2 linked regions of the Oryzias latipes genome follow. Each later gene encodes a partner of the first gene's protein in a complex. Links are inferred from orthologs where the notes say so. Each region holds a gene or a part of one and is shown in the gene's direction. Other genes may lie near its edges.

The links.
Region 2: nup93 (region 1) and nup85 share a complex: the UniProt entries of both Homo sapiens proteins name them as parts of the nuclear pore complex. The link is inferred for Oryzias latipes from reciprocal best matches to the Homo sapiens genes NUP93 and NUP85.

Annotation. Positions count from the first base shown.
Region 1 is NC_019864.2:28,042,414-28,046,068, forward strand, and holds part of nup93 (nuclear pore complex protein Nup93), read left to right. Parts: intron 1-107; coding exon 108-200; intron 201-454; coding exon 455-594; intron 595-970; coding exon 971-1,103; intron 1,104-2,252; coding exon 2,253-2,410; intron 2,411-2,498; coding exon 2,499-2,664; intron 2,665-3,247; coding exon 3,248-3,341; intron 3,342-3,655. UniProt on the Homo sapiens protein: Plays a role in the nuclear pore complex (NPC) assembly and/or maintenance. May anchor nucleoporins, but not NUP153 and TPR, to the NPC. During renal development, regulates podocyte migration and proliferation through SMAD4 signaling.
Region 2 is NC_019866.2:13,017,381-13,020,671, reverse strand, and holds part of nup85 (nuclear pore complex protein Nup85), read left to right. Parts: coding exon 1-20; intron 21-213; coding exon 214-284; intron 285-371; coding exon 372-415; intron 416-994; coding exon 995-1,064; intron 1,065-1,175; coding exon 1,176-1,297; intron 1,298-1,369; coding exon 1,370-1,504; intron 1,505-1,750; coding exon 1,751-1,873; intron 1,874-2,224; coding exon 2,225-2,356; intron 2,357-2,428; coding exon 2,429-2,535; intron 2,536-2,615; coding exon 2,616-2,699; intron 2,700-2,781; coding exon 2,782-2,847; intron 2,848-2,941; coding exon 2,942-3,093; intron 3,094-3,205; coding exon 3,206-3,291. UniProt on the Homo sapiens protein: Essential component of the nuclear pore complex (NPC) that seems to be required for NPC assembly and maintenance. As part of the NPC Nup107-160 subcomplex plays a role in RNA export and in tethering NUP96/Nup98 and NUP153 to the nucleus.

The DNA of each region.
Region 1 (3,655 bases):
TTTACTTGAACCCTCGAAGGTGAGGGGAGGATTTCAGGACTTTAGGGTTGTTGGAGCTACTTCACCTGGGCTCAAATGTTCTTGTCTCTTCGTTTTCCAACCTAAAGATCTACATTTTCAACGAGAAGATAGTGAACGGACACATTCACCCGAATCTGGGAGATTTATGTGCATCGGTGGCAGAAAGCCTTGATGATAAGGTAAGAACAGTAGCCTTTTGTTGCCAAATCTTTGAGTGGAGTAAATATGAAGGTGCATTTTAGTTAAAAATAATAATAATAACAAGTCGGGAAAATTTGTTCTACCTTTTTATAAATAATTAGAAACCATTATCAGTTCAGCACCTGGAGAAGTGATATAAAATGATGGGAAGCCATCTATAAAAAGAAAATAATAGTAAATTGTCTATATAGCCCACCTTGAAGAAATAAATTACATAATTTGTGTTCTCCAGAACGTTTCAGATATGTGGCTGATGGTGAAGCAGATGACGGACGTTCTGCTGGTTCCAGCTAAAGACACCCTGAAGAGTCGAACTTCTGTTGAAATGCAGATGGCTTTTGTTCGTCAAGCACTCAACGTCTTGGAGAACAGGTGTGTGCATTTCTTATATTGGACAACAATTACTTCCACGACGACACTGACGTCATTTGATTGTGTGATTAGAAAGAGAAATGCCAAACAGGAAGTCATGCGGACGTTTTAATGCAGAATAGATCAGAAAAAGCTCAACTTTTTAAAAAAAATCATCAAAAACAAGACTTTCCCAGTTTTTAGGGTTATGATGTTTTTTATTTGAGGATAAAGAGGTAACCCCAGAAAAATATTTTATTAGAAAAGATGAATTGATCTGAGGGTCAGCTATTTTAGTTTAGTAATTTATCTAAATGTTCTACTTTTATGGTAAAAAAGAACAAACCAGCCAGTGTCAGAAGTTCCACATGCGATCACGTCTTCATCCTCTTTGCAGCTACAAGAACTACACCATGGTGACCGTCTTCGGGAACCTCCATCAGGCCCAACTGGGAGGGGTGCCTGGAACGTACCAATTGGTCCGCAGTTTTCTGAACATCAAACTGCCCGGACCCTTACCTGGCATGCAGGTATCAGTCCTACAGTATATCAGTTAGAATGAAGAGTTAATGTGAGGAAACGTGTATGGGGTCAAGCCAGGGTCAGCTTGATGAAGTGAACGAAAAACCAGAAAAGAAAACAAAAAGTAGGATTGGAACTGTTTTACACTTCAATCGGAGATCCTTAAAAAGCCTTTAAAGGTGTTGAATTTAATTTAAATTAAATAAGGACTTATAAAGCAATAAATTGTTTAAATTTCTGTCAAATGGGATTTACATTTTTTCTTTGTCTTAAACGCAAGCATTTCCAGGACGCACTGTGTCGAAAGTTGGTAAACGGTTGTAAATCACTTAACCTCCTAGCTAAATAGCTCAAGCTCTTCAGTGCGGGAAAATTCAAACAAACAGAAATAATGGCTTGAAAATAGGGACTTTTCATGCACAGTTTGTCAAAAGACATGCGGCTGTTTGCTTCATCCTTTTGTTTCTTTGTTTCCTAATTTTGATTTTACGTTTCCTTAAATTGACCTTCCGTTAATCAGTAGTCACTTTGCGAAAAAACACATTTTAAATTTGACAAAAATACTGAAAATACAGGGGGGAGTTGGCATGTTTGAAATTTATTTATATAATACTGAAAACTTGAATAAAATGCTAAATACCTACAACTTTTAAAGGAAAAAATGTTTATTTATTGCAGCAGCTGTTTTGTATTTTCATTTTTTTCTCCCTTTTTTTTCATTTCTCAATTTACAGTTTCAAATCAGACTTTTTGGAGTTTCCACTCATTTTTGTGGAGCTTTCAGCCCATTGGCTATCGGGACACGATTGACCTCAGTTCACAGGTTTTAAGCAAAGAGGGAGAGAAATGCTAAACACTGGCAAAAAACACCCCAAAATTATAGACACTAAACAACAGCTGTTGCAAATACTTTCTTTTTCACCTGAAAACAGTTTTAGGTTTATACTTTTTTAATTCAAGTTTTTAGTCATTTAAAAAAACTTTTTTTCTTTCAAGTTGACAATGTGTACTTTCAAGTTTTATACTGCTTCAAATGTCTTTAAGCTGATGCTGATCTGACCCCATAATCGTGGCCCCGTAGCCTCACTGCCTGAAGTCAATAGCAGGTCATTCTTCATGCTAGGTTTCCTTTTAATGGTTCTATTCTGGTGCATCAGGACGGTGAAGTGGAGGGTCACCCTGTGTGGGCGGTGATCTACTACTGTCTGCGCTGCGGCGATCTGAACGCAGCCATGCAGGTGGTGAACAGAGTGCAACATCAGCTGGGAGACTTCAAGACCTGGTTTCAGGAGTACATGAACAGCCCGGACAGGCGGTACGTTTCTTTCGTCAATTGCCTGCTTGCATGAGATCGTTCCCTGCATCTTTTGTCTTCAGTCGTCTGACACTTGATCTGTCTTTAGCCTTTGCCCGACCTCGGAGAACAAGCTCCGTCTTCACTACCGCCGGGTGCTGAGGAACAGCGCCGACCCCTACAAGAGGGCCGTCTACTGCTTGATCGGGAAATGCGACATCAACGATAACCACGGAGAGGTGGCGGACAAGACAGAAGATTATCTGTGGCTGAAGGTACGGGTCACCTCATTTACTTGATTCCTTTCTGGGTCATTTGGTATTTCACTGCTGCAATCAGTTTAAACTCACCATCAATTTTGCACAGAATTTGTTTCAATAAAGCTGTTTTCCTAAAAGTAAGCGAAAGTGGATCCTAGATCAATAAAGTTTTAACATTTTAACACATTTTTTACCTGGAAAATACAAGAGATCTCTAAATAGGAAAATCAGTTTGTGAATGTGACGATCAAGTTTTGAATTTTCTGTGTAAAAATCTGCATTATTTTCGAGTAATGGATGATTTTAGATCAAGCCATTCTGCCTTGTAGGTTTCCAACTTTGTTTTATAACACAAGTGCTAGAAAACAAGTCAAATGTACTTAAAATCTGGATTAAAAGCCTGAAGTAACTGTAGATTTTTAACCAAAATTATTCTTTTGAACATGTTTGGCATTAATCTAAGGAGGATACATTTATCCTCTGCTTTTCACAATGAAACTGTCTGAGGAACGGACCCCAGCTGACGCAAACGAATGGTCGAGCTGCTTAATGAACGTGTTATAATTAATGATTAAATAATGAATGTGAATGTGTGCAGTTGAACCAGGTGTGCTTCGATGACGACGGCAGCAGCTCTCCTCAGGACCGACTCACCCTGCCACAGTTACAGAAGCAGCTCCTGGAAGATTATGGTACACAACAACTGCCGCACACATAATCTCTTAGGTTATTTCATTTACTAACGTGAAAGTTTTTTGTTTTCTTGGAAGAAGGAGATGATGCACAAATGCATGTATGAGTACATGCATGCACTGCAAAAGGAGGGAACCTAAAAAGAGGAAAAAAACACTCGAAAGAAATCACCAGAAAGTTGTAAAATGATCTAGAAACACAGGAGTTTCACACAATCATTGAAAAAGGGAAAATTAAGCGAAGAATGCTAACTGTTAGAATGACTAAAATTAAATATTATACATCCCAATAACTATTTTTGCTAGTTTACAAG
Region 2 (3,291 bases), on another chromosome or scaffold:
AGCAAGAACAAGAAACCTCAGTAAGTCTCCTGATGAGAGACCGCTCAGCTTACACAAATAATTAGTTTTTATTGACATTTTCTTTTTAATTTTTTGATCAGTGGGATGACATAAAGATTGAAAAAGAAAACAGGCAAAACATCAACATGTAACTATTTCATGTCAAACAGTGTTAAAGTAAAAAAAAAAAACAATTCCTGTTTTGCTCTATAGGTTTGTCAGCATCAGTAAAAACTATAGATCTGTTATTCGAGCCTGTATGGAGGAGCTGCAGCAAGTTGCAGGTTAGCTTCTTTAAACTGAATCATGAAGTGTATCTTCGAATCCTACAGTGTAGTTTTTTATAATGGCATGTACTTTTTTGTTTGCAGTTTCCACAAAAAACGCAGAGATGTCCGTACAGTATGGAAACCAGGCACGTGTTTTTATTCTTTAGTTTCATCTTTTCCTTTTTAGAAATTGTGATTAGTTTAATTTTTTAACTTATTAACGTATAATAGTTTTTTTCCTCTTCTTTTTAATCTTTTTACTATTCGTAATATTTTTTTGTTTCCTCGGATGTGGATTTTAGTGGTCTGTAATAAATACAATTCAAATAATTTTGTGTATAATTTGTTCTTAGGAATTAAAAAATGTGTATTTTTTTTAATGATTTTTAAATCAACCAAGCAGACGTCGACTAGTTTTGATGTTATTTCAAACTGCATTTGTGAGATCTTATTATACTAGAAATGTCTTCTGTATGATCTTGAAACAAACTCTTATTCATGTCGGAGCTTGTTTATTTTGGATTTTTGCTTGTCGGTACAAATATAAATCATTACTGATCTTTTTTGTGGGTAAAGCTGTCATTGTGCCATTATAATATGTTTTAAATGACATATTTTTGTTGCATTTTAAATAGTCAGAGCTCATCTGTATTTTAACCCTTGACTCATCAGTAACATTTCTCTTAAATATTATTTAGTTCCTAATCCAGTCTGTTTTGTTGCAGGTCTCCATTCTTTTAGCTATAGAACTGATCTGGAATCTGTGTGAAGTCCTTTTCATCGATGCTGCTCCTGGTTAGAATCTCAGTTTTTAGTTAACAACAAAATATCTTTTATTATAACTAAACAAAGGCAAGGCTCCATAAAAACCCATTCATGATTGATGTGTGTTTTGCATGCTTTCAGCCGGCTCGCTCCTGCTTCACCTCCTGGACTGGGTGAGGCTGCACAAGGCTGACGTAGACGAAAAGGCTCGAGACGTGCTGCAGAGTGACAGCCCTGCTGAGCATCGAGACTACTGGGATGTGGTTAGTGCGGGACATGCACACACACGATCCGCCTCCACTGGAGATCTCTGAGAGTTTCGTTGTGCTGTGCAGGTGGTGAGTTATGTGCTGCAGGGCAGGTTGGACGAAGCCAGACAGATGCTGGGGAAAAAGGCCACCCTAACGCCTGCTGCAAACAACATCTACAAGATGATGGATAACTTACTCAGCAAGATGCCTTTTTACAATGTAAGTACAATGGGAGTTATCTGGTTTTAGTCTGTGGGTTAAGAATGACTTATGGTCATTTACCTGCCATAAAGGTTAAATCTAAGTTGTGGCCTCCTTAAGAGGAGTTTGCACGACGACTCCTGCATCAGTTTCTTTCTCTGTTTTGGCTGAGGGACTGGTGACCTGCCTTTAAATGTGTTCAAACACATAACGAACCAAACAATTTCAAAATGTCCATTTTCATCCTCACATGTATGTCTTCAGCCTGGTGGCACACAGACACTGACAGAGTTTGACGTTAAGTGGAGGCACTGGCATGAAGAGGTAGACCGCTGCTTGCAGGACAACTCTTTTGCTAGCAACCAACATCTGGAGGTCATCTGCAAGGTCAGTCCATCCGTTACTACTTTTTATGCTATCGTGTATTTTCAAAATGCTAACATTGTTGGTACTAATGTAGGCTTTTCCTAAAAATACGCCCGTTTCTGTTAACAGTTTTAATCACTTCAATTCTTGCTAAATCCCAATGGGCTGATATGATGCATGCTCAAATTATGAAGCTATCGCCGCCATGCTTCACTGTAGGCAATTTCTGGGATATTAAATGTGTGTTTTAATTTCTAATCTGGCACCAAAATACATTTTAGTCATTTAGCAGCACCAGATTAATAAATTGGTGCAAATGTTTCAACTATATGATATAAAATGTTTCAATAATTTCTGTTCTTTATTTTTTAGATCCTCCTGGGTGATGAAGACACTTTACTGGAGCACAAAGACCTCCTGGGAACCTGGTATCACTTCCTTGTCTCAAGACTGCTGTTCTGTCATCCCACTGTAAAGCCCACTGAGTTGCACTACTATGCACAGGTGAACTATTCTACAAAACTTGCACTCATGTCTGCTGCATCCAGATATTAAGTGTACCTGTGTGTTTTGCAGTCGTGTATGACCATGTTTCTGGACTCAAGGAGCGCACCAGAACCTCTGGACAGCATCTTGCTGGCTGCCTTTGAGTTTGACATCCATCAAGTTATTAAGGACTGCAGGTGCAACAATGGGACTGATGCATGCAAGTACACTTATTTTAAATCTACTTTAAACATTCAATTTCTTCCTTTTGCCTCAGCATCGCTCTCAACAACTGGTGGTTTGTGGCTCATCTGACAGACCTGCTGGATCACTGCAAACTCCTCCAGTCTCACAATCTACAGTAAGAACCCTGTGTGCAGATTTAGTTTTTTAGTCTGGAGGTTAGGACTTCTTTTATTCAGTGTTTTTCTGTGTTTTTGCAGCTTTGGTTCCAATTTAAGAGAATTCCTCCTGTTGGAATATGCCTCTGGCCTCTTCACTCATCACAGGTTGGTTTGTTTTTTAAGTCCTCCTTTTAATTATTTGAATTTTTCTGTGAAGGTTTTCCCTTAAAGGATGTCTTTTTGTTTGTCTGTTGATCAGTCTGTGGCAGTTGGCTGTGGATTACTTCGATCACTGCCTCGAGTTTGGTCGTGTCTACCTTGAGCTCCAGATTGAGCGCGTTCCCTTAGACACGGAGCGGAAAGCACTGAAGGTCCTCCGCATTTGTGAACAGAGGCAGATGTCGGAGCAAGGTTCTAAAAGACTCTTTATTCTGTAATCACCTTGGTTCCAGAAATACCATTCAAGTTGAACTTTCTTTCGTTGAGTTTGGCATTTGAAATGTGTTTTTTGTTTGTGATCCAGTACGGAGTATCTGTAAAATCATGGCCATGAGGGCCTTAAGAAACAACAGACTTGGCTCCGCCCTTTCCTGGAGCATCAGAGCCAAA